Mus musculus: one gene and its partners. The protein of the gene in region 3 interacts with the protein of the main gene of each other region in a biochemical or structural test. Links are inferred from orthologs where the notes say so. Each region holds a gene or a part of one and is shown on either strand. Other genes may lie near its edges. The genes, in order: Ncoa7, Hdac4, Esr1, Arnt, Ncoa6, Phb2 and Ube3a.

The links.
Region 1: the proteins of Esr1 (region 3) and Ncoa7 form a complex in vitro, tested with the Homo sapiens proteins (2 studies listed by BioGRID). The link is inferred for Mus musculus from reciprocal best matches to the Homo sapiens genes ESR1 and NCOA7.
Region 2: the proteins of Esr1 (region 3) and Hdac4 form a complex in vitro, tested with the Homo sapiens proteins (2 studies listed by BioGRID). The link is inferred for Mus musculus from reciprocal best matches to the Homo sapiens genes ESR1 and HDAC4.
Region 4: the proteins of Esr1 (region 3) and Arnt form a complex in vitro, tested with the Homo sapiens proteins (2 studies listed by BioGRID). The link is inferred for Mus musculus from reciprocal best matches to the Homo sapiens genes ESR1 and ARNT.
Region 5: the proteins of Esr1 (region 3) and Ncoa6 form a complex in vitro, tested with the Homo sapiens proteins (4 studies listed by BioGRID). The link is inferred for Mus musculus from reciprocal best matches to the Homo sapiens genes ESR1 and NCOA6.
Region 6: the proteins of Esr1 (region 3) and Phb2 form a complex in vitro, tested with the Homo sapiens proteins (3 studies listed by BioGRID). The link is inferred for Mus musculus from reciprocal best matches to the Homo sapiens genes ESR1 and PHB2.
Region 7: the proteins of Esr1 (region 3) and Ube3a form a complex in vitro, tested with the Homo sapiens proteins (2 studies listed by BioGRID, with this or other methods). The link is inferred for Mus musculus from reciprocal best matches to the Homo sapiens genes ESR1 and UBE3A.

What each region holds. Positions count from the first base shown.
Region 1 is NC_000076.6:30,649,827-30,653,326, forward strand, and holds part of Ncoa7 (nuclear receptor coactivator 7), read right to left. Parts: intron 3,263-3,500; coding exon 3,110-3,262; intron 1-3,109. UniProt on the Homo sapiens protein: Enhances the transcriptional activities of several nuclear receptors. Involved in the coactivation of different nuclear receptors, such as ESR1, THRB, PPARG and RARA.
Region 2 is NC_000067.6:92,177,542-92,181,654, reverse strand, and holds the start of Hdac4 (histone deacetylase 4), read left to right. Parts: upstream 1-1,313; 5' UTR 1,314-1,397; exon of another isoform or gene 1,398-1,653; intron 1,654-4,113. UniProt on the Homo sapiens protein: Responsible for the deacetylation of lysine residues on the N-terminal part of the core histones (H2A, H2B, H3 and H4).
Region 3 is NC_000076.6:5,000,158-5,003,145, forward strand, and holds part of Esr1 (estrogen receptor), read left to right. Parts: intron 1-1,031; coding exon 1,032-1,266; 3' UTR 1,267-2,988.
Region 4 is NC_000069.6:95,433,099-95,437,189, forward strand, and holds the start of Arnt (aryl hydrocarbon receptor nuclear translocator), read left to right. Parts: upstream 1-1,291; 5' UTR 1,292-1,438; coding exon 1,439-1,463; intron 1,464-4,091. UniProt on the Homo sapiens protein: Required for activity of the AHR. Upon ligand binding, AHR translocates into the nucleus, where it heterodimerizes with ARNT and induces transcription by binding to xenobiotic response elements (XRE).
Region 5 is NC_000068.7:155,437,984-155,441,924, forward strand, and holds the start of Ncoa6 (nuclear receptor coactivator 6), read right to left. Parts: upstream 2,801-3,941; 5' UTR 2,705-2,800; intron 157-2,704; 5' UTR 112-156; coding exon 1-111. UniProt on the Homo sapiens protein: Nuclear receptor coactivator that directly binds nuclear receptors and stimulates the transcriptional activities in a hormone-dependent fashion. Coactivates expression in an agonist- and AF2-dependent manner.
Region 6 is NC_000072.6:124,711,095-124,715,088, forward strand, and holds the start of Phb2 (prohibitin-2), read left to right. Parts: upstream 1-1,194; 5' UTR 1,195-1,342; coding exon 1,343-1,469; intron 1,470-1,609; coding exon 1,610-1,694; intron 1,695-1,967; coding exon 1,968-2,047; intron 2,048-2,889; coding exon 2,890-3,074; intron 3,075-3,735; coding exon 3,736-3,865; intron 3,866-3,965; coding exon 3,966-3,994. Other genes in the region: Emg1 (ribosomal RNA small subunit methyltransferase NEP1), read right to left, coding at 782-949.
Region 7 is NC_000073.6:59,284,250-59,287,749, forward strand, and holds part of Ube3a (ubiquitin-protein ligase E3A), read left to right. Parts: intron 1-430; coding exon 431-575; intron 576-1,804; coding exon 1,805-2,010; intron 2,011-2,618; coding exon 2,619-2,783; intron 2,784-3,500. UniProt on the Homo sapiens protein: E3 ubiquitin-protein ligase which accepts ubiquitin from an E2 ubiquitin-conjugating enzyme in the form of a thioester and transfers it to its substrates.

The DNA of each region.
Region 1 (3,500 bases), about 26 Mb from region 3:
AATAATGGAGCTGGAATACAATAGGGTGGCACCTAGGTTTTTTAAAGCATGATTTTACAATATGACATGAGAATAACAGAATCCTTTAACAGGTGGGAAATGAGTTCCTTTCAGATAAACCGATAGGAAATGCCGTCTCTAGCCCTCTACAGGGTTCTAAATAATATTCCTCAGCTAGGGAAGCATGTTCTCACGGTGAACTTAACTCTTCTCAACTGTCTACAGCCAAATGTAATCGCTTCAGGGATATCGTTGGCTTTCTACTTCTGAACTCACTGAAAGACACCCCCAGCTCTGTGGGAAGGGGGTCAGCACTTCATGTCCTATGGCCAATCTCTTCCTCTGGAACAAGTCCCTAAGACAATGACCTGGACTCTGAGCTATACATCTGCCTGCTTTTCTCAGAAAAAACAACTTTGCTTTAAGTAGCAGAGTGCTGGTCTGGCCCTAGCTTGTCTCAAACAATGTGCATGTATTTATCTAGTGCTAGAAGGAGAACAATGAGGTATCTGGCATTCACAACCATCATGTCTGAGATGCGAGTATGTGGGCTGGGTAGAGGAAAGACATCTGCCTCTAGCCATACTTGTCTGAATTTTCATCTCTGAAACAATGAACTTGGGAGGCGTATAAGAAGTGCTGGGCCTGTTAGAAGGGACAGGAAACTAGCAGCTGTGAGAAGAGGGGACCCCCATCTCCTGGACCACACAAGTCCAGAGTAAAACTATGGGTTTGAACTGGGATTGTTGGAGTGGTGGGAATAGGGTTGTGTCTCAAGTGCAAAGAATTTCATTGTTATTACTGAGACTTATTAGATTTTCTTGAATAAATATTTCTTCATTTGCTGCATGCCTTCAGGACAATTTCCAGAGACTGTAAAGGATTGTTGCTTTTATGATTCCCACAACTCTCTACAACTCCTCATTTTCCTTCTGCATGTGTAATATTAATTTCTATTATTTTATATTATATTATTATATTAATGTCTGTCATATTCCCATAAACAGAAAAGACACCTTATTTCCTCAGGATGGAGAGGCTGGAATGTGCCAAGCTAATGTCCAAATATTCACAATAGCATCTGCAGGGTGCATGATATGTTAAAACTCTACTCCAGTAGTTCTCAACTTGTGGGTCAATGACCCCCATGGGGTTGCATATCAGATATTTATATTATGATTCGAAAGAGTAGTTAAATTACAGTTATGAAGTAGCAGCAAAATCATTTTATGGTTGGGCGTCACCACAACATGAGGAACTGTATTAAAGAGTTACAGCACCAGGAAAGTTGAGAACCTTTGCTCTACTGCCTGACGACATGTGTTAGCCTCAGACCTCTGTTACATCACTGTTGACAGGAAGTTTAGCAAAACTGTGCCTCATTGGTACCTTCTCAGTGTGGACAAGTTGGATACGACTGCTAAACAGACAGAAACTATATATATTTTTGTAACTGAAGTGTTATCTAGTCACAATTGTATTCAAGACATAGCACCAATGATTCTAACATTTCATAACTTTCTATGTGACTTTAAACACTTTGTGGTATTATTTTGATTTTCATCTTAATTGTTCACACTACTCATCTTGGATCATTATTAAATAAGATCTTATCAATCCTGATGTAATAATAATAAAAATAGTAACAGTTATTCTACTTTCAGTAATTCTTATGGCAATAAAGTCATAAAGACTGTGCCTTCCATAACTTCACCAGGGCCATAATCTTTTTGGGGACAAGAGTCTCACTGTGTTGTCCTGGCAGTCTTGGAACTCACTTTTTAGACCAGGCTAATGTTGAGCCCACAGAGATTCAGCTCTTCTGCCTTCCAAGTACAGGGATTAGATGTGCCTCACTCAGGGAGGTAAATTGGCAGGATAGAGAGTTGTACTTCACAGCAAGCTCCTCACTTGAGCATCACAGGTTGAGCAACCCCAATCAGAAAACCCCTCCAAGTCCCAAACTTTCTGAATGCCAACACAATGCCAGAAGTAGAAAAATCTGCACCGAAAACCTGTTTCATGAGTAAAATTATGAAAACTCCCTCTGTGTGTGTGTGTGTGTGTGTGTGTGTGTGTGTGTGTATGAGAGGTGGGGGGAGAGAGCGATCTCCAAGATATACCCTTATACATATACAAATCTTCCATGACTCCCCCAAATCCATATTTCAAAACACTTTTATCCCAAGAAGCTTGGATGAGAATTATCCAAGCTGAGATGTCCTGTACATAATGGGTGTTGATTAGACATAACATGACTAAACTAACTGATTTATTAATGACTTTGGTATGTAACGGCTTGATTAAACAGGAAATGAAAGTGGTTTGCACATAATCCATGCACAATGTAAGTTGATTTGAAGGAGGTGATAACAGTGTAGAATAGATGGGGTACTACGTAATAACTCAAACAGCTCATAGAAAGGGCAGTCACCACACAGGTAAGAGTACCATGAGAAAAGGATTTCCCATGGCTACTGAACCATTGAACCCCAGACCCAATAAACAGAAGTTGACTATCCCCTACCCAGTAGGCATCATCAATGGCTACTACTTAAGACCCTTAGGATAAAACTCTGGTATGTCACTGAGATTGTCTTTGCAACTGTACACATGATTGTCCCTAACTTCTACTTTTAAACTGCTTTAGGTTACTATTTTCTATCTTATGGTCAGCACAGGGAGAAAATTTCTCAGCATACAATTGTTCCATTTTCTTTATATTAGGATTTCAAAATACACCCACAAACAAAAACAAGAAGAAAAAGACATAAAACAAGAATGTCCAAATCCATTTAGTCTGAGAATGGGAGTCGATATAGCAGTCTCTCTACTGTGGGTATTCTAAAAATCTGCCACCAAAACACCTTTTCAGGTGGAGATACAGTTCAGTTGGCAGAGTTTGTCTGCATGCATGTGACCCTGGACTTCATCCCTAGCGTCTATATAACCATTTATGATGATACACACTAATAATTCTAGCACTCAGAAAGTGGATGTAGAAAGATCAGGAATTCAAAATACCTTAGATTATATAGCCTGAACTAGATTGAAATCATATCTCTCCAAAAACAAGATACATGTTCTCTGTGAGAGGAACAGGCCTCACCTGGTTATCCATGTCTTTGATGACCAAAAGAACAGGACTATCTAGAGATGCTGATTTCCTGTAGAGAGTCTTCAAGCTCGTTCCATGCTCTAATGTGCTGTAGGCCAGTCTCCATGGATAGCCTTGTACCCTGGCTGGAAGTCGTCGGGCCAGCTGCCAATCCAGAGAAAATACAAAAGGCCATTTTAACCACTAATCAGTCACTAAGAAGTGCGTTAACTAACTGCCTGTGGTTCAAACTAAAGGACTGAACACTCACATTTGGACCTGTTTTGCCTAGCTGAGAAAGAAAAAGGAAATCTAGAGAGTGTTTCCTTTGGCCAGGATGCCACCCAGGAGATACCTTGCTCACTCAGAGCCTGATTGTTGGTTTCCAGTGTCACTGATAAAA
Region 2 (4,113 bases), on a different chromosome or scaffold from region 3:
TTCATCTAAATGTTAGCAGGCTGCAGATCCTGCATTATTTTGTATGTAAATTTGGTAGTGTACTTTTCTATAAGCAGCTGCACTAGCACTCCTAAGTGCGGTCATTTTCTTCTGCTCTTTTCTATTCCACAATTCATCCCTTGGCTTCACAGCTGAGCTATCCTAGAGTATGAATTTCTCCCAGTGAATGAAGCTTTCTAACTCAGTATTACCTTGAGATAATGAAAAGAATCTATTGCTTCTTGCGAATTGTTTTACCTTCAATTTTCCCCCAGTCATGGAACAAAAATGCTATTAAATCTCTACTCAACTCCTATCAGGCAAGGCCTAGTAAATAGGTCAGCATCCTAGGTCAGGCCATGTAGGGTGGACCAGATGCTCTTGTCTTCGTTTTGGATGTGGGATTCTGGAAATATCATGGACACAGGATGAGAAATTGCACTACTCTCCTGATGAAAGGAAATGGACCCAAGGGAGCCAGAAGGATGGCCTTTCACGCCCATCCACATTCGTGAACGCCAATTATAGGCGCTTGGCCCAGGTCTAGAAGAACCTCAGAGAAGGGGTGGTCCCAACAAACCGGGACGCCGTGGCGGCGAACCAAGAATACACCTCCGCAACAGCAGCGGTCCCAGAACCCCCAGTTCCCACGGCCACGCAAGGCCCCACAGTCACAGCCGCACCCCCAAGCGGCGCGCCTGCCCCGGGGCAGGGCGGGGCCCGCCGCGCCTGCGCACTCCCTCTGGGCTCGGCGTCCCCCGCACGCAGCCCACGTGATCTGTGCCTTGCCTAAGATGGAGGTTGCCGCCAGGCCCGGCCGGGCCCTCGCCTTAGTCTGTGCTCTTCCGCGCCCCCTTAGAGCATGAGACAGGCGCTCAGGCACACTGTATTGACCCGGGCAGCGCCGCGGGCTGCCAAGGAGGTCTGTCCACGGCTTCAATCAGTTCGCGCACCAGCTCCCTGCTCTTTCTAAAACAGCAAAAGCTCTCAGAGCGGGCGCCTGGAGAGTCTTCGGTACGCCCCGCTCATTAGAATTGACAATGCTGGGAGCCAATGGGGTTTGGAACTTTTGAGAAGGGCGGACGAAGGCGGAGCCCCTTCGCAGCGCCCGCGAAGCGGGGCTGGCTGTTGGGCTATTGTGGGGCGGACTTAGGACTCTCGGACCAATGGAAGGGCGGCTGAATTCTTGGAGGCGGGGCCGAGCCGTAATTGACGCTTTCTTCATTAGAAACCAGGCAGGGGGCGGCGCCCACGGGGGGAGGTGACGCAAAGCCGTTGTAGCCAATGGCTGGTGGGCCGCCGACGGGAGGGGCGGGGCTGGGGCGCCTGACGGGCGTAGGGCGCGGCCTATCCCCGCGCGGCTCTGCGCTCGAGGGGGAGCAGCATCATGGTTCAACGTGGGTCAATTTTTTGTGAATGAGGAGGGGAGGTTGTGGGGCCGCTGCCGCGGAGCACCATCCCCGCCGCCGCCCGAGCCCGAGCCCGCGCGCCTGCTCGCGCCGCCGCCGCCGCGCCGCCTCACGCCCGGCCCGCTCAACGCGGCTGCTGTCGCCGTCGCCGCCCGAGCCCGCCCGCCCGCCGGCGGCGGCGCAGGCTGAGGAGATGCGGCTCGGAGCGCCGGAGCAGGGCTAGACGCGGCCCGCCGCCGCCGCGGTAAGCCACCGGCCGTCATTGTCCGCGCCGCCCGGTTGCTGGCGGCAGGTGGACGCCCGGCCCCGCCGAGGCCTCGGGGCCCTGCGCCGCGGGCTGGCGGGCGGGAGAGCGGCCTGCGCCGGCGGGCGGGCAGGTGGGCGCGCGGGGGCGGGGGCCGGGGCGTTTATGTAACTTTGTCAGCCTGTGAGTTTGCAGAAAACGCCCCTCGGCGGCGGCGGGCGGCGGGGCGGGGGCCGCGGCCGGGCCCGGACCGTCGCTGGGCTGGCGAGGAGCTGCGCTAGCCCCGGAGACGACCGGTGTCCACCCTGAGCGAGGGTTCCGAAGGCACAGCTTGTAGCTCACACAGCGGGAGTCGGTCGGAAAGGCCGGGTGTGGAACCCGTGTTCTCCTTTAATGCACACCGAGAATTTGTTAATAACTTGCAGCCGCTGATAGCAGTGTTTTGGTTATTGCATGCTGTAAATTGACCTGCTGTGACACGATTTTCAAATAAAGCGTCGCAGAAATTAAACTTAAGTTATTTTAGAACTAATGACTTTCTTAACTAAATCCTAATTGCATTACTGTAGAGACCTACCTAATTGCTTTCCGAGAGCCACTCTGCCTGCCCGGGGAGGAAGGAAAGGCCTGTGTAGTCACTTTGCCTCCCTGCTTTTCTCTGCTCAGGCTTTTCTGTCTGTTCCCACAAACCACCTAAGCATTTAAGGCCTGCGAGTATTAACGTGTAAACAGCCATGGCCCTGTCGCACTTTGGGGCTAGGGGGATGCTGGCGGCTTGCACCTTGACCTGGTTTCGGTTTTTCCTCCGTGATATGATCGAGGTTGCCAGGAGTTTTAATTGCTTCTGATAATTCCGTGCATTATTTCAGGACCGGCTTGATGAAAGCTAGTGTAGTGGTTTCAAAATCCACCCAGAAAGAAGGTGATGGTGGTGGTGGTGGTGTAGGTAGGTGTAGTGCTTGTGGAGAGGCAAGGAGGTTGAATTAAGAAAACTCAGCTGCTTGTACACAAATATACACTATAGCAGTTACAAGGCAGCAAAAGTTATTGCAGAATTTTGCAGTCACTATGGCAACACAATTACTCCATTATAATTGGAAATGCAAAATGCCACCCAGTTAGAAGTTTCATCAGGATGGAGTTTTGGATATCAAAAAATATGTGAGATTTAGTTAAAAATTCTCATTTTTTTCCCCCAGGTAGCTTTGCAGCTCTAGTCTAGGTTCAATTGTCTATTTTTAAGACCCATCCGCTTTCCCAGATCTGCCACTCCTCGGGATCTGTGGCATCTTTCCCCAGAAGAACTCCCCGTTTGTGTGGGAGGGAAGTATTTTCATGCTTTAAAAACACACACCCGACACACTGTAAGACTTCTATGGTTTTCTGTGTTCTGGCTTTTCTTTTAAAGATCAAATGCCTTCCTGAAGAGCAGTAATCACCCAGAAGAGGCTGGGTTTGCTAGAAGGCAGAGGTAACACTGCCCCCTTTAGGGGTCTGCAGGCTGCTTACAGGGTATCTGGGAGCCCTGTGGGGGAGAAGAATGACTGTGAACTGCAGACGGGGCCTGGATAGCCTAGAGACCAAGGACAGATGTGACCTAAGCAGCCCTAGCAAGAATGTCTGTGGTTAGCAACATCAGAGAGCTGTGCAACATATAAAGCCCCCAGATGGCACCTTCTCAGAAGCTAGGGGCTGCTGCTGGTGAGGTGGGCAAGAGAACATAGCACTCTATCTTCCTGGGGCTCCTGGCTCCTAGCTTGACTTTGCTTTCAAACCTGTGTTAGGAGGATGTCCCTCTTGATGTTTACCAGAAGAGCTCTGGTGCTGGAAGTTTCCACACGTCGTGGGGCTGCTGCAGCTTAATTTCGTTAGAACTCTTTCCTTTTAACTACTGCATATTTTTGCCCAGTAATCGACTTCCATTTTCCAGCCTCATTGTGAGGTTTCAATGCAGCATGAACGGCTTTGAATTCCAATCCTTTGATGTTGGGGGTGGCACCAAAGGAAAGGCGACTTTGTGCCGTCCTAATTGCCAGAGCAGAAGAAAATTTCATCACTCCTGTCAAGCCTTGTCCATGCCATTTTCTATTGAAAACGGCTGGTTTTTCAGAACTCTGAAGCTGCCATAAGTAATACATTAATACCTGATGTAGGGAGCCAGGGAGATGCAGAAATGAGAGACACCTGCTGCACGGGAAGATTGGGGTGGCGTGGGGGGGCTCAGTCCCAGGACCAGGGCTTTTGATGTCTCTGGGCCCTGGGGTGACTATGCAGGCTTCAGAGGGTGAATCCAGAGTTGAGCTCATGTCCCATTGGTTGTAACCCAGTCTTGGGGTAGGGGCCCCAAAGAGATTTTTGGAGTGGCTTTGTCTTGGTCTCCAGTGACCATCCAGTGTCCTGCTGCTCAGCCAACTCTGGGCCTTAAGTGTGACACTGACCTTTGAGGTGCAGGTGACGGAG
Region 3 (2,988 bases):
CCATACACTACTCCCAAGTACTAGGATTACATATGTGCTCCATCACACACAGAGACATTCTTATCATTAAAAAAATCAATCCATGGAAGAGTTATGATTTCCTGCCTTCGCTGCCCACATGACAGAGAGGCAAGGAGGAACAAGGAACTAAGGAGAAAGCAGAAAAGCCATTTGCCTGCATCCTTCTCTCCCCACTTTCTTCCCTGTTTCCTCTTGTGGGCAGAATCTCCTGTTCTGGGCATTGGCAGAAGTTAGGGCCATGTGGAAGGAAACTCCTGAGTGACAGGGACTGAACCATTGTCATGGAGCAACAGAGGACTTTTGGTCACAAGAGGCATCCGAAGATTCCATGGAAATTCATCCTGGAAAAGACAACAGAATGTCAGATTCTCTAGATATCTACAGGTCTTTCTTCATTTCATTAAGGAGCAAATCAAAGACCAGTGACTGAGAGTCAGTGCAGGATGACATCCATGGTCCTCTGTGAGAAAGATGAAGGCATGTCTAGGCTTCAGAGAGCCTACATAGAAATTTTGATTTTTAACTTCTGAATATTATAGGAAGCCATTGAAAAACTCAGGCAAGGAGCCCAGCCCATAGAATGATGTCTTCAACATTAGGGTGGGTCTTCCAACCCTAATTAATGTAATCTAGAAACGGTCGTGTAGACATCCACAGATATCTAGAGCTTGTCAAGTTGACATTCAACATTGGTTACATCACAGAGAGGAAAATGCATGGAAAACCCACTAAACGAATTTGGTGGAAAAGTATGATTGTGGGGGTGGGGTATTCTTATAGGATGGAGGAAATGAAAATACGTGGACACAAGTCCCAGCCCCAGCCCCTTAAGGGGTCTCTGAAGCCCCTAAGATTCTACAGCTGTCATCTTTAAATGAATTCTTAATAGGTTTAAAAAATGACTCCCAAGTGCCTTTGGAGTTGCTCATCCTCCCTCCTCCTAAGAATTTCAGCCGTCCTGGGGGTTCAGCCATGATCTAACATAGTTCTCTGTGTTCCTTCTCCTCCAGTAACAAAGGCATGGAGCATCTCTACAACATGAAATGCAAGAACGTTGTGCCCCTCTATGACCTGCTCCTGGAGATGTTGGATGCCCACCGCCTTCATGCCCCAGCCAGTCGCATGGGAGTGCCCCCAGAGGAGCCCAGCCAGACCCAGCTGGCCACCACCAGCTCCACTTCAGCACATTCCTTACAAACCTACTACATACCCCCGGAAGCAGAGGGCTTCCCCAACACGATCTGAGAGCTCCCAGGCTCCCCGAAAGGTTCTGAGAATCCCTGCAACATTTTACCCATGTCATGTATGACTAGCAGAATTCTGTCTCCTGCGTACACTGTGGCATGCATCCACCACCAGTGGCTTTCTAGTATGAGTGGCCATTTATTTGCTTGCTCAGTTCTTAGTGGCATGTCTTCTGTTGGGAACAGGCAAAAGGGATTCCAGGGCTAAATCTTGGTAACAGCTCTCTTTCTCCCTTTGCTACGTCACTAACTATGAGGATTCCTATAGTCTTCAGTCTTCATGAATGAATTGAGATAACTGCATTGAAGCTACTTGTTGAGACCCAAGCCTAGAGAGTAAACATTTCACCTCTGATAAGCACTTCATAATGGCTCCAAGAGGAAGCCTCAGCAAAGACTTCAAAGTGGCTCCTTTAATTGAAGTCGTTGACAAAGCGATCTCATGGCTTCCTAATAGCACCCGCTTGCATTCCTATAGCAACATGTGACTTTATTAAAGGGAAATCTTGAGCCCCTATAGGAATATGTGATGCACACAGAAAAGGAAGATGCCCCCAGTTGTCAAGACCATGTCAACTCAATACAGTCAACCTTTTCACTTCTTAAAGTGTCAGCTGCCGAGTATTATATACATGGTGGGTTCTAGACAATTCTTGCTTCCCATGACTTGTGGGAAACAGAAAGTCTATTTCAGTTAATACCCTGGAATGAATTAGTCTCCTTCATGAGGGCTGTAGGGTGTGTTGATTTTAATTTGATTTCATTTTATAATAGTCTTCTGCCCCTGGGGCTTGCAGTAAAGGCAGCTTGAGGACCTGTTCTGGTAAACTGGACATTCTTCAGCACAGGATGCTAGCCTTGTCTCTTCCCTGATGTCAATTGCCCTAAATTGTTACCATGTAGATTGATCAAGGGCAGTCACAATGAACCTGCAAGCTGGTGACAATTTTTTGGTTTGTTTAGTTTTATTCTTGGGGGCAGGGAACAAGTAATGTATGGGCAATGACTGTGACTCGGAGGAGTCTAAGAAGGAAAGTAAGGGAGAAATGTGGAGAATGACCTGGCCAGGGCAGCAGCTTCCCAGAGGTGCACCTCACAGATCCCACCATGCACAGTGAGGCTGCTCTGGGATCCATGGGCTGACTTCACTTACATTTCAGGTATGAGCCTGATTGGAAGAGGTGACATCAGATACCTGTGTTCCTGTAGATGCTCCAGGAACTTGGGGAAAGGCATGGGGGCAAGATCTTGGAGCACTCATGACTCAAGCTGTTGAGAAGTTGCTCAGACTAGACTGTGCTTGATTATTCTGAACTCATCCAAAAACCAGCTAGTGAGATCTTGGGGAGAAAAATTTCTTCCTCAACACAGTTCATGATCTTAAATTTTGTAAACTAGAAATGATGAATGACCAGAATTGGGTCATGAGAGTCCTTTGAACAAGGGGATAAAAAGGAAGACTTACTCTATCCACAGCCACCCAAGACCTCTGGGGTCTTGGTCTCTCTAGTACAACTAAGGATTACTTCCTTTTCCAAACCAAAATGAAAGTTCAGTTTCCATCCCGGACTTCATGATCTATAATTTGAACTCCATTGAGATATGATGGGTTAGCCAAAACCTAGGTGAATGGCTAGGCTTCTCTTGGCCTGTACTTTTTGGAATGGTGGGTTCCATTAATTTCTGCTCTCCCAGTTAACTGACTATCAAAGATGTGGAAACT
Region 4 (4,091 bases), on a different chromosome or scaffold from region 3:
TGAGATAGTGTCTTTCTATATATAGCTCCTGCTGTCTTAGAACTCACTATGTAGACCAGGCTGGCATTGAACTCAGAGAAATTGGCCAGTCTCTGCCTCCTGAGTACTAGGATTAAAGGCATGCATCACTATGCCTGGATCTGTTTGTAGTTCTTTTTTTTTTTTAAATATATATTTTTAAGATTTATTTATTTATTTTATGTATATGAGTACACTGTAGCTGTACAGATGGCTGTGAGCCTTCATGTGGTTATTGGGTATTGACTTTAGGACCTCTGCTTGCTCCAATCAACCTCGCCCACTCCAGTTGGTCGGCTCACTCAGTTCCTGCTTTCTCTGGCCCAAAGATTTATTTATTATTCTAAATAAGTACACTGTAATTGTCTTCAAACACACCAGACGAGGGCGTTAGATCTCATTAGGGGTGGTTGTGGGCCACCATGTGGTTGCTGGGATTTGAACGCAGGACCTCTGAAAGAGCAGTCAGTGCTCTTACCCGCTGAGCCATCTCTCCAGCCCCTGCTTGTAGTTCTTGATTTGTAAAATTATAGAATTTATCTCACAGTGTTTTGAGTCGACATTGTCTGTTCTGAATTGCTCAGTTCTTATAATTAGACATTACGTCTGTGTGTTTACTACCTTGTCATTTTAAAAAAACTTGTGACATAGGACACCTCACTTTTGGAGGGCAGAGAAAGGGACTAGTTTCATTTTGTAGTACAGACTGGTCTTTGCATTCTGAGTTCTGGAATACTTGTTTAATAAAAATTCTTTGTTCGTTGTCTCCATTTCAAATGTTGGCATCTTTGGTACCACGTAATCACCCAGCTTTTTCCTACCAGCTTCAGAGCCAACTCTTAAGAATTAGTTATCGGACTTTTACTAGTGACAAAAGTTCATAAAGAAAAAACAACCTAGAATGGATTAGTGATCCCTGTGTTAGAACCTATAAAGAGGGTTTGCATAACAAATCGTCTGTAGGAAGCATATGCTGATGAGCCCACTAAGAAAGAAAACATTTTAGTAAAATGCTCGTTTTCTTTGCATTTCACTGACGTCAATTTGGTTATGAATCTCTGACGCCGAGAAGGCCGGATTAGGGAAACAGCTGGTTGGCTTCCTAGCTCAGGCTTCCTAGCACTCCTCGGGTCACCGGACTCACTGGCCGAGTCACTAGCCCGGCCTCTATGGCGACTTACTGTTTCTATTGGCCAGTTCTCCCAGGGAGGCTGTCTGGAGACTGACCGCGCCCATAGTTTGGGGCGTGTCTTCTGCCCAGGATGGGGAGGGGGGTGGGCGTCCGCCATCTTGGATTCCGCGGTAGCGGTGGCGGCGGTAAGGTGCCTAATCTGCGGAGTGGCTCTTCCCTCCCCTCCCCCAGCTCGGTGGCGGCTGCCCCTCCCACCGAGGGTGGCGCAGGGACGGTGCCATCTCGACCATGGCGGCGACTACAGCTAACCCAGGTGAGGCGGCAGAAAGGACTGACAAGTGCGGAGAGCCAGAGCAGAGCAGCAGGGCCGTGGCGTTCGGGTGTTGGGGGAGGGGTGTCGAGGAGGCGCCCTGCCCGGAGGACCTGGGGAACGGGTGACGGGTGTTTGGGGGCTCCGTGCCCCAACTTCTGGAGTAGTGGTGGCGCTTGGCCAGCGTCTCCACTCTGCCTGCGGTGTTAGGGAGTGTTGTGGTCTTTTAACCCTCTGCCAGCTGATGTTCCCCTGATGCCTAGTAAGTAACTGGGCAAACTGACTTGGTGTAACTGCGAGCGTAAACTGGGCTATAGACGGGGCCACGTTGACGTTTTGCAAAGTCTTGCTTGATTCTACACTTGGTTTACATTTAAATGGAAAACTTAGTTCTTTGAGAATCTGCTCAGATTCTTGTAACTCCTATACTTTGAAATTTAGGGTTTTAGCGTAGTTATTAGTGTCTTGCTGCTGAAGGCAGAGGTTTGGGTAATGGTAATAGTTCAGGACAGGTCTTTAGTCCAGAACCCAGGTTTAAATCTTGTTAGGTCGAGGTGGAGCAACTCCTGTTCTTTCAGAAAAATGTCCCGCGCCATTTGTCTGTGGACGTCCTCTTGCTTGTTTGTCTGTCTGTCTCTGTCTCTCGTTCATCTTATTTTGAGTCTTGTCTCATTCCAGCCCCCGGTTGACTTTGGATCACTGCAGTCTCCCTCTCAGTCCTTTCTACTGTATTCAGTTACATCTTAGGAAGTATTTCATTTTAGTTGGGCTAATTTACCTTGTTATTTTCCAACAAAGTAAATCCATCATTTCCCAGAAGTCTGTATCATCGAAGAGTTTGGAGGGAGGGTTGTGTAATATTGGTCTCTGCTATTTCACATTGAACTTTTAAATTTTATCTTGTTAATGTACTATATTACAGTAACAGGGTACACACACGTATGTATATACATACACACAATAGCTGAAACACTGGGAAATGTATTGTTTTCCCATTATTTTTGGAAACAGCCTTTTTTTTTAAGAGAGAGAGAGAGAGAGAGAGAGAGAGAGTCCTAGAACTTATATGTAGCCCAGGTTGGCTTCAAATTCATGTGTCAATATCAACTTTAAAAAAAATATTTTTAAGCTTTAGAAATTATGTATATGATAATGTCTACTTGTGAGTGCAGGAATGGGAGGAGTCCAGAATAGGGTGTTGGATCCCCTGCAGCAAGAGTTTCAGGCAGTTGAAAGCCCCGTGATGTGGATGCTAGGAACTGACATTAGGTCCTAGAAGAGTAACACATACTCACAACTACTGAACCTTCCTTTCAGCCCCTGAATATCAGTTTTTTAAATCCTAAATTATTATTTTTTTTACATGAAGATGAAGTAAATTGTCAGGAAACTATTGGAATATTTGATGAATTATAGAATAAAACTATACAACTGAAAAATGTTAGAGAAAATCAGACCTTGTAGCAAAATAGCCCATGTCTGATTAGAGTAAACAAGATTTCAAACTGATCCCATGTTGCAAAATCCTTATATAACTCTTCAGACTGCAAAGTGTCTCTCTTGTTAAGGCCGTAGAGACACGTTAGTAAGTCAGAAGCTTTTCTAGCTGCCCTGTTCTGATTTTAAACCAATTACTAAAACAACACTTTCTTGACCAAATAGTCATTTCCTTATCAATATTAGCTTAAGTCTGTAAGCAGGAAATAGTAATTTTTTTCTATTTTTTTTTCTGAGTGGGGAATTTTGAGAGGCTGGCCTGCAGTGTTCTGTGAAGATCAGGCTGGCCTTGAACTTGCAGTGGTCTTCTTGCTTCTATCTTCAAGTGCTGGAATCACTCGCATGTGCCATCCTATATAAACTATCAAAACTTTTTAAAAAGTACGATTTAAGAATCTTTTTTAATGAAACAGTTGTTTGTTTGTTTGTTTGTTTGTTTTGACTTTGGTTTTTCAAGGCAGGGCTTCTATATGTATCCCTGGCTGTCATGAAACTCACTCTGTAGACCAGGATGGCCTCCAACTCAAGATCTGCTTGCTCCTGCCTCCTGAGTGCTGGATTAAAGCTGTGAGTGTCATCACCAGTAGAAATAATTGATTTTATTTATTGTTATTTGATTGCTTGCTTCTTCAATTTTGAGGTGGGCAGAGTCATCATAGGTACTTACCAAACAGAGGGAGAATAGGCTGGAATTCCTTTAATCTTTGCAGAAGCAGGGGGATATCTTAGTTCATGGCCATCTTGGTCTACAAAGTCAGTTCCATGCTACATAGTGAGACCTTGTTTCAAAATCAAAAGCCAGACCAAACCAAGCAAAAACCTCAAAAGGTGAGGTGTAGGTTCTTAGCAAACCTTTGAAAATTAACCTGAGAATGTAAGAGTTTTCTTAAATTCTAGTCTGCTGTTAGTTATGGCATAGCACCCAGTGGTTCCTGCTGTAGCTGACATCCCTGCGTAGCCTCAGCCTCTTATGAGATGGGATGGTAGGTCTGAGCGGAGAACAGAGAACGACAGACCCAGTGAGACTAACCCCCTGCTCTCTTTACCATCTGCCTTAACTTCCTTTTCCGGGGGCTACATTCCTAGCTCAAGATTTCTTTTTTCCATGTGGAGAATTCTTCCATGTCTTCTAAT
Region 5 (3,941 bases), on a different chromosome or scaffold from region 3:
CGTGTCATCATCTTCTAGTCCAGAGTCAAACTCCACCTCTGAGTCGCCCATTGTAGATGAACACAAGGAAGTATAGATGTCTTCAAAGTTTGGAAGGTCATCCAAAACCATGGTGTATTATTCCAGAAGTATATGCAAAGTGAACAGTAAGTAAACCTTCAGAAAAAGAGAGGATGCAGAGTATTATAAACTATCATTATATAGTCAGCATATCATTTTTATTTAATATGTTATCCATACCTCTATAAAAGATGTAATTTATTTACCAGATAAAATTTCCTTTCATAATATTATTTGCTACTTTTTTTTTTGTTAAGACTAGACTATTGGGAGAAATATACAAAGTGACACAGGAAAATCAATAGATCTGAGTGTTAGCAGTGCTCACCTGCAACCCCAGCGCTTTGGAAGATCATAAGTTGAGCTCACCCCAGGCTGCAGAAGTAAGCTCTTGTCTCAAACAACAGCACCCAGAAAAATCCTTTATAAAATAACTATACTTCTCCAGCTACATTTAAGAATTTCTAATAATATTAAAAGTAAATAAATAAAACTAACAAAAAAATTTTAAGGCTAAAAAGCTGCTGCTTACTTAGCAAGAGAAAGACTGAGTTTTGAAACTGCCTAAAAACTGTAGGTATTTAGCAACCATTTCAAAGTAGGACAGAAAGAAAAATAACTTAATGATATATGTCATTAAAGTTAAACAAGAGTAAACCAAACCAAAATTAGTAGCTGGAAAGCCATGACACAGACGGGTGAGCTGACTTAGCAGGTGACTAGGACCGCTCCTAAGCTTGCCGATGAGTTTGACCCTCAAGATCCATATGACGGCAGGAGAGAATTAAACTACAAGTTGTCATCTGACTTAAACACACACCAAGCCCACTCACACAACAGTAAATAAACAGATGTTTAAACATTTTCTTCAAAAAAAAAGGGGAAGATAAAATAAATGTTAGGATAGGTGTTAATAAAATGGATTAAAAGAAAAATATAAAAGATTAACGAAACAAAGAGTTCTTTGATAAGATAACCAAATTGACCAAAATAAATAGACATGAATTAAGAAAATGAGGAGGCTGAAGATGCAGCTCAGTTGCTATAGAGCTTGCCTAACATGCACAAAGCCCTGGATTTGATCCCCACCATCACACAAATCAGGCATAGCGATACATACCTATAATTCCAGCACATGGAAGATGGAAGCAGGAGGATCTCAGAAACCCAAGATCATATCTGGCTAAAAGGGAGTTTAAGGCCAGTTTGGGATACAAAGAGGCTTGGCCTCAAAAAAGATAAGTATACATACATAATATATATTATATACATAATACATAGACTAAAAAGGAGATATTAAAGCAGTGAGATTCAAAGAGGATCTCTAAGGAATTTTTGAAAACTTCCAGTAAGTTGTTAAAACTAGAAGGAACTGGTATGTTTCTCAATACATGAATTACCAAAATTAAACCAAAAGGATATAACCTAAAAAAAAAAAATTAAAAAAAAAATAAAAATGATCACCATACAATGAGGGCTGGTGAGATGGGTTAGTGTGTAAAGGCACTTGTAGCCACGCCTTGTGAGGACAGAGAGAACCAACCACCTCTGTGTGCTGTTTGCTAACCTCTGTACCTCATGGTGGCATATGCACCTACAAGATATGCACATACAATAGAAATAAGATGTGGAGGCTGGAGAGACGGCTCAGCAGTTATGAGAACATGTTGCTCTTAGAGGATCCAATAGTTTTGTGTGGGTGCTAAGAAGTGAACTTGGCTTCTCTGCAAAAATAACAAGTATCCTAACCCCTAAGCAACTCTCCAGCCCCACTTCACCCCTGGTCATACTGATTATAGTGCTTGAACTCTTTGTTGTATGTTTGCTTGTTTTGAGACAGGATTTCTCTGTGTAGTTCTGCTGTCTTGGAACTCATTTTGTCGACTTTGCTGGCCTCAAACTCATCATAGAGATCCACCTGCCTCTGCCTCTGCCTCTGGAGTGCTGGAATTAAAGGTGTATGCAAAATATAAAATAAAATAAAAGTATGTGCTATTATATCAGCCCAGCTAGTGCCTGTAGTAAATAAAAAGCATAGAAACAAGCAAGGCAGAAGTCAAATCATTCCTACTTACAGATGTGATCACTTACTTAAAACATACTAAGAACGTCTCAAGGTAACTATTAAGAGTTAGGTAGTAAATACTTTCAAGAAAATATCAGGGATATAAAATTAACCTAGAAAACCCAGTAGCAGGGCTAGTAAAATGGTTCATCAGTGAAGTGCTCTTTGAGAGGACTGAAGCTCAGTTCCCATGTCAGGTGGCTCACAACCTTGCCTAGAACTCCAGCTATAGGGGATCTAATATCCTCTTCTAGACTCCACAGGCACCAATAAACACACATGCAAATAAAAGTAAATTGCTAGGTTCTCTATGTACTGATAATATGCTGGGAAAGAAATTAGGAACCCAGGTTCAATTCCTAGAACTTACATGGAGGTTTTCAACTGTTTGTAACCTCAGTTCCAGGGCATTTGTCACCCACCCTTTTCTGGCCTCCTTGGAAATTTCATGAATGTGTTATACAGACATACAAGAATGCAAAATATACACAGTACATATAAAACAAATTTAAAATAAAAGAAAAACCAAAAAGGTAGACTTAAAAAAAAAAAGAATTTCTTACATAAACTTTCACTTACCAAAATGTCTTAATTATCATTTATCCAGATCATCCTCTAAGTCCAAGCAAGGTGGCATCTTTAGGGCTTATAGGTCAAAGTAGCAACCAATCAGAATTCTTTTAGAGAGAGAGAGAGAGAGAGAGAAGAGGAGAGGGAGAGAGGGGGGGGGGAGGGGAGGAGAGGGGAGGAAGAGAAACAGTATTATAAAGAAATAAGATTAAAAATACGAACAATAAATAAATACATACATAAATACATAAACTCTAGAGATTGTTAAATCAGTTTTCACTAGAAAACTTATCCCACATGTAGAATGAAGAAGCAAAACTCAGGAACCCCAAGTAGCTTCATGTAAGAGCCACAGAACTGGGAATTCTGGCTTTCTTGCACCCTCCAGACTTTTACTCTTAACCTTGCCAAATTAAACAAGGAAACTACCTATAGATATTTGGAGACAAATATTTTTCTTTTTACAAGTCTTAAAAGATTTTTTTGTGGACATGGGTATTTTGCTTATATGTATATATGTGTATCACATGTGTGTTTAGTACCTATGGAGGCCAGAAGAGGGTGTCGAATGTCTTGGAACTGGAGTTACAGATGGTTGTGAGCCACCGTATCAGTGCTGAGAGGCAATCCAGGTCTTCTGGAAGTTCAGCCAGCGCTCTTAACATCTGAGCATCTGTCCAGCCCCACAGAATATTTTCTATTCACATTAATACAAAACTCACATCTTCTAACATAATTTCAAACTTATTTTTAAAATCCATAAAGTATAAATATTTTCCTTATTTATTCACAATATCTTGTAGTTTGTTTGTTAAGGAGGGCCCGACCTGCACTGAGAGGAAAGCAGGTCTGTGAGAAGAGTCGCTTTACTGTCAGGCGTTTTATTTTTTTTAAAGATTCATTTATTTATTATATGTAAGTACACTATAGCTGTCTTCAGACACTCCAGAAGAGGGCATCAGATTTCGTTACGGATGGTTGTGAGCCACCATGTGGTTGCTGGGATTTGAACTTGGAACCTTTGGAAGAGTAGTCGGTGCTCTTAACCACTGAGCCATCTCACCAGTCCCTGTTTGTTTGTTTTTTTTGAGACAAGGTGTCTCTGCATAGCTCTGGCTGTCCTGGAGCTCACTCTGTAGACCAGGCTGGCCTCAAACTCAGAAATCCGCCTGCCTCTGCCTCCTGAGTGCTGGGATTAAAGGCGTGCACCACCACGCCCAGCTCCATCTTGTAGTTTTAATTAAAA
Region 6 (3,994 bases), on a different chromosome or scaffold from region 3:
CATTGAACAAGTTTAGCTCTGAAAGGCAAGACATACAAAAGAAGGAAGGAGCCGGGCGGTGGTGGCGCACGCCTTTAATCCCAGCACTCGGGAGGCAGAGGCAGGCAGATTTCTGAGTTTGAGGCCATCGTGGTCTAAAGTGAGTTCCAGGACAGCCAGGGCTATACAGAGTAACCCTGTCTCAAAAAAACAAAAAGAAAAAAAGAAAGAAAGAAGGAAGGAAGGAGGGGGCTGGAGAGATGGCACAAACTTTCTTGTATAAGACTCAAGTTAGGTTCCTAGCACCTTCATGAGGTGGCTCATGGCCACATGCAGACTTGCATGCATAAATAAAGGTAAAGTAAATATTTAAGGGGGAGGGTAAAAAAGCAAAGACAAAGGCTTTTTAAATAATCTGATCCAGACATACTTCAGAATAGGTAAATACAGAACAAGCTGCCAGTCAAGCCCCATTTAACAAAATAAAGCATCAAGTCCTTGGTAGTAAAAGGCTGGGGAAGTCACTGGCCTTTGGAAACGTGGGAACCCTCAATAGACAATGCTTCCCTCATTTTGCATTATACATCACAGACTCCGTGATAAGTCAACTAAAAGCAAGGCGAGGGCTGAAATGAAAGTCCAGAGCAAAAGGACTACCCCCAGGATATCAACAGCCTGGAAAACTAGGTCATTCTTCCAGAGCAAATTTCAAGGCTCCGCTTTTCCATGCACTCTGCGGCCCTGGTTCCCACACAATCTGATCCATCAATTCCCTACCTCCGCACTCACTGTTCAAAACTACCTTGACTGTCTCCAGACTGGCCCCTTCCAGCACCACAATGAGCCTCCGGCCTCCGCACTTGCTTCCTGCCCCAAGCCGGAGCTTCTTAGGCGGCGTAGTCTCCCAGTCCTGCTCCTGCACTGAAAATCGCCGCTCACGAGGTTGGAAGCCACCACTGGCCGCAGACATCTTGTAGGCAGACCGGAAGTTGCACCGAAGTCCTTAAGTTAGAACTTCACGTCCGTCCTCACGGCCAACTTCCTTCGAGCTGCCATTTTGAAAGAGGGCGCTCGAAAATGGCGATGCCCGTACGGAAGCCTCTCCGGGAGGGCACACCATTCCCCCCCACCAAGAGGCGGGACTTCCGGATGCGCCATTCCTGTGCGCGGAGTTCAGGGCCGCCCGGGCGGAGGGGGGCGGGTCCGGAGGGAGGCGCACTTCCGGTGCCCTTTCTCCCGCGAGCTCTAAGGCCGCCGATCCTCGTGTGCAAGGCGAGGTCTGTAAGCTGGAGCGGGGCAGAGGCTGGCGGGCACCCCCTCCTGACCGCTGGTGCCGCCGCCGCCGCCTTCGGGAGGATCAGACATGGCCCAGAACTTGAAGGACTTAGCTGGACGCCTGCCCGCCGGGCCTCGGGGCATGGGCACGGCGCTGAAGCTGCTGCTGGGGGCCGGGGCGGTGGCCTACGGCGTCCGCGAATCCGTGTTCACCGGTGAGCAGCCTCCTTCCGCTGGCCGGACGTTGCGGTCCCCAGACCCACGGTCCTGCTATCCCCCAGGTGTCCCCGTCCCACCTACGCTGACCAGCACTCGGGCCAGTAGCCTGCCCTGACTCCCACCCCTCTCTCCGCAGTGGAAGGCGGTCATAGAGCCATCTTTTTTAATCGTATTGGTGGCGTGCAGCAGGACACGATCCTGGCCGAAGGCCTTCACTTCAGGTAATGGCGGGCAGAGCGAACAGGCCCTGACCCTTCACCCTTGACGGCTGCAGCCAGACTTAACAATTCGGAGCTGCTTTACCCCTTCCTCACGCCTGCTCTTGAGGACAGTGGCTGCCTGAAACTCCAGCAATGCATAAAGGGCTGTTCTCGACTGGGAAGAGTCCTTGTGGTCGTGGGGAGGAACAGGCCCAAGGACGAGTGGTGAGGGGAACCATCAAAATCAATAAAACTGCAGTTTCCCAACTCCTGTCCATGACCTCTCCTCTCCAGGATCCCCTGGTTCCAGTACCCCATCATCTATGACATTCGGGCCAGACCTCGAAAAATCTCCTCCCCCACAGGCTCCAAAGGTAAACGTGGGCAACTGGGAGCCTCAGGGCACGTGGGGAAACAAATGTAAAATGAGCCTGGCCAGGCTGCCAGAATTGGTTGTGTTTCTGAGGTCTTGGTTTCTACGTCTGCAAAAGAGCCATGCCTCACGGTTCAAAAAACGGTGCATTCCAGTACTTGGCATGCATGCACGTTTTAACGTTACCTTCTGCCTAGCATAAAAGGGATAAGAGTTGCCTTTCTTCCTGGCTGCCTAGGTCCAAGTCTGTTTTTAAGGCCTTTTTTTTTTTCTGTTGATTTGTTGATTACATCCACAGTACACCTTGCTCTGGAGAAAGTGCCCCCACTCTTCACTAGCTGTTGCCCTGTAGACCATAGTTAGAAGGCCTGCCTTTGAGATTCCCCAAGCCTGGGCCTCATTCCCATGTACACACCGAGGCAAGTAGCCCACAGAAGTGTGCTTCTCTGTTGCTGTTTGTGGTGTGTGTGGTTTATGCGTTTGCTAAGCCATAGGCCTTGGAAATAAAACACAGTTCTGGTTCTCAAGGCCCTAATGGCAAGGGGGAAACCCAAGATTATGCTGCTTGGTGGAATCCACTTTGGAGGAGGAGTAGCAATTTATTAAAAAAAAAAAAAAATAGCTGTACTGGTGGAAGGTCCATAGAAAAGATTCCACAGTAAACAAGGGTCTGCCTCGCCCATCCATGTTGTTCACATGCTCTGTGTTGACATGACTATCTTCCTGCTGGAGTGCTAGGCTGTACAGTAACACTAGGCATGGTGGGAAGCACTCCTAGGAGAAAGCGCTGGAAAAGGGGGAATTTGGCCTTACCCGGCGGCCACTGCTGACCTCTTCCCTCAGACCTGCAGATGGTGAACATCTCCCTGCGTGTGCTGTCCCGACCCAATGCCCAGGAGCTCCCCAGCATGTACCAGCGTCTAGGGCTGGACTATGAGGAGCGAGTGCTGCCGTCCATTGTTAATGAGGTGCTCAAGAGTGTGGTGGCCAAGTTCAATGCCTCGCAGCTGATCACCCAGCGGGCTCAGGTCTGACTCCTATCACTGTCTGCACGGCGGCAGCCTGTGTCTCTCCTTGGTCAGGGTTACTGGGTACTGAAAGAAGGTATTTCGGGATGGGGTGGGACGGATCTGTAGTTCAGTTGATATGTACTTGCCTAACATGCACAAGCCCTGGTTTTATTCTCAAGCATTGCTTAAACCAGGTGTGGCACATGCCTGTAATCCTAGCACTCGAGGTAGAGGCAAGGGGATCAGGGGTTTAAGGTTATCCTTAGCTGCATGGACTGTGGGAAAGCTGTGCTGTGACTGTGGGAAATGAGGAGAAAAACGGTAGAACCTGACACCAGTCGACCCTAAGAAGGAAGCATAGTACAGAAAGTGGCAGTATTGCCTTACATCTCCACAGAAGGTCTTCCTCCGTTAACTGGAAACTAAAGAGATGCATAAACTGAAAAGAAGAGATTAGGTCTCAGTGTGATGTGGGGCAGTCTGGTGATGCCACGGCTGTCACAGGAAGAAATGGAACCAAGTTTTTTCTAGTGAATGTTTGAGGACTTAAGTGGTGGGTTTGCTGCCCATATTCAGGAGCTCCGGTGTTCAGATGGTTACAGCAATGCCACCACCTTCCTTCCAGTTCTCTGATCCCCTCAAACCAAGCCTCCCTTCCCCTCCCGACCCATGCCCCCAGGTGTCCCTGTTGATCCGAAGAGAGCTGACAGAGCGCGCCAAGGACTTCAGCCTCATCCTGGATGATGTAGCTATCACAGAGCTGAGCTTCAGCCGAGAGTACACAGCTGCTGTAGAAGCCAAGCAAGTGGGTAAGTCCATGGAGGCAGGCACTGGTCGGGGGGCTTCTGGAGGTGGGAGGAGGGGGGCTACATGTTCTTGGGCTTCTTACACCTCACACTTAATCCACAGCCCAGCAGGAAGCCCAGCGGGCCCAGTTT
Region 7 (3,500 bases), on a different chromosome or scaffold from region 3:
ACAGATCCTGAGGAAATACATCTTAGGTGGAAGGAGACATGTGAATATACATACATGAAGACATACAAATTAGTTAAAGTAGACCAATATAGAGATTCTTTACAGAATAAATTCATAGGCCCTTAGACCCCTAAAGATGAAGATATACAGGACATAATTGCAACTATTCCCCCCACCCCACCCCCAACAGCATTTTGGCTATATCCTTTACTAAGAAATGCATAGCTTCTTAAACACAGTACATACTCTTGTGTGTTGAAATAAATCTTGCCAAAAACTGTAAGTCAGTTTGCTTTTTTTCTTTTCAGAAACAAAATTCATTGTTTTCTTTCCATATTGTTTTGTTATTGCTGCTTCTTATTTTCTTCTACTTATATCTTACATTTTTCCTCTTCTCAACTGTCCTCTTTTTTATATTTTCAATCAACAGCTAGAGATGATTGCTATGGAAAATCCTGCAGACTTGAAGAAGCAGTTGTATGTGGAATTTGAAGGAGAACAAGGAGTAGATGAGGGAGGCGTTTCCAAAGAGTTTTTTCAGTTGGTTGTGGAGGAAATTTTTAATCCAGATATTGGTAAGTATTAGTGATATGATTATGATGGTGTGTTAGTCTTTTAAAGTATAAACTTGGTTTATAAATATTTTCAGTTATGGTAAGCAGTAAAAAAATTGAGTATGCCATATCCCTGCTTCAGGAGCTGTTCTATCACTCACTTAATTTAGGTTCTTCCATATATTACTTAGTCAAATATTCTAGTAGAACACAGTTGCCTTCTAGGGAAATTTAATTTGAAAAACCTTAGAGTGGTAGATTTGAAAACCTGAAGTCATGAGAATCATAGGTTATATAATTTATCCTCTGGTTAATTTATAGCTTAATTGTCCTTGAGACCAAGAGCATCCATTGGTGACATTCTATCAGATTTATTATTTGTGAACTGGAACTTTTGATATTACCTGGATGTATAACCTGGCATGCAAATGATACAGACATACATAACTCACATTTTTCAAGCTGGAATGCAAGTATGAATTGAATACTTGTGAAACCAGTATTCCACAAATATTAAATTGCAAGAAAAAGCTTAGACTTAATTTATATTACTACAGTTCAAGGAGAAAAGTGTACTTTTCTTTTTAATTAAAACTGAAAGTGAAAATAAGGAAACATTTTAAATATTAAAATTAACCTGAAAGTACATTTTAATGCTTTATTATTTGTTTTTTAATACTCTTGTTCCATTAGAAAAACATTTCCCAAAACTTTTTGATTTGCTCATTTTGATTTTGGCTTTTTTAGACAATCTTTTTATATTGTATTAGTACTCTAACCTTAAGCTCATAATTTTCCTTACTCATTTTACCAAGTGCTAAGGTATACAGCCCACTCTCTCCCCCAGCTTGTTAGACTTTGTATAAAAAGTATTTCCTGAGAAGCAACTGAAAATAAACTTAGAAAAATTGAAAGGCATATACAATTAGTTTTGTTTTATTTTATTGTTTGATGTTCCGTAAAAAAAGAAAAAAAAGACTATCTCTTAATGTTCACCTAGATAAAATAATGATGATAGGAAAAAAAATCTCTGGACTTTGGCTTTGAATAATGAAGATCATGTGAAGCTGAAAGATCACAAAATATTTTTTAAAATTATATTAGCTTAGATTTGATATGAATTTTAAGTAACTTAAAGTTAATCAACTTTCTCCAATTGTTTTTTTTTTTTTTACTTAATCATGCATTTGTTTCATATGTAATTTTCAGTCATTAAGTGGATAAAATGACTTTTAATTATTTCTTTATAGGTATGTTCACATATGATGAAGCTACGAAATTATTTTGGTTTAATCCATCTTCTTTTGAAACTGAGGGTCAGTTTACTCTGATTGGCATAGTCCTGGGTCTGGCTATTTACAATAATTGTATACTGGATGTCCATTTTCCCATGGTTGTATACAGGAAGCTAATGGGGAAAAAAGGAACCTTTCGTGACTTGGGAGACTCTCACCCAGTAAGTTGTCCTTCGTTAATAGTCTTTAAGATTGTATCTAAATACAGAAGTTTATCTCAGTTTATATAGGAACATTATTTATTTGTAAACTTTTGTTGATACTGCTGTTTAGTAAAGTAAAATACTTTTAATCTGGTTAAGTATAATAAACATCATTTTTTATATATCCTATCAAGTATGTTTTGATTGACCCCATAAAAAATGTTGAAAACATCATGTTTTCAATGTCCCATATGAGTCTATGTAGTAAAGTTGTTGATAGGTACAGTTGATATGTGTGTGGCTTTTTTGTTGTTTGTTTTCCTGTTTGTTTGTTTGTTTGTTTGTTTGTTTTTCCTCATTTCCTGTACCCTGCCACAATCATGGAGAGAAAGTGTATATTCTAGACCATGGTATGAAATCTGTTGCTGAACTGATCATTTGAAGAATTTTTAAGATTGACCCATTGCCTGTGACAACCTTTCTATCTTATTAAACTACTTGAGAGATGTGGAATATTTATGGCTTCATTTTTGTTGACAAGTTGTTTCTACAAAGAATGAACAATCTATTATTTTTATTTCTTTTAGTATTTATTTGGCAACCTCACTTCTCTTTCTGGTTGTTAGGTTTTATATCAGAGTTTAAAGGATTTATTGGAATATGAAGGGAGTGTGGAAGATGATATGATGATCACTTTCCAGATATCACAGACAGATCTTTTTGGTAACCCAATGATGTATGATCTAAAAGAAAATGGTGATAAAATTCCAATTACAAATGAAAACAGGAAGGTAATTAAATTTTTGTCATTGTTTTATAAATATATAATTTCAAAGCAGTAAAGTTTTCAAAGAATTACCTAGTATGGTTTGAAGCAGTTATAAAAACTTTACATAAACAAATTTATCTAAATAGTAAAGCTACACTTTCCTCTTAGATAAGAGCTTATGTGATTGTACAGAATTGTTAATTCCCCTTTAGAGAAAGACTAAACAGACTACAAAAGATTGAATGGGTAAATATTACTATAATGTAACGCTAGAAACAGGGCCTTACCATATTAAACCTAAGAGGTATACAGAGCCCAGTGATTGACATCTGGTTTAGTGTGTATATACATTTTCCATTTGAGATCTAATTATGCATATCAGATTATTCACATTAGATTTGGTTTTTACTAACTTTAAAAGCTATTTACTTGGCAATAGGAAATAACTTAGCTTAAAAAGAAAATATTACATAGTATAATTTTAAGAAATATATTAATTTATACTTATTTTTGGTGAAATATTGTACTGTCATGAGATCTAATTATGCATATCAGATTATTCACATTAGATTTGGTTTTTACTAACTTTAAAAGCTATTTACTTGGCAATAGGAAATAACTTAGCTTCAAAAGAAAATATTACATAGTATAATTTTAAGATATATTAATTTATACTATTATTTTTGGTGAAATATTGTACTGTCATGATACAAACTACATTTGTACTATAACAAATTTT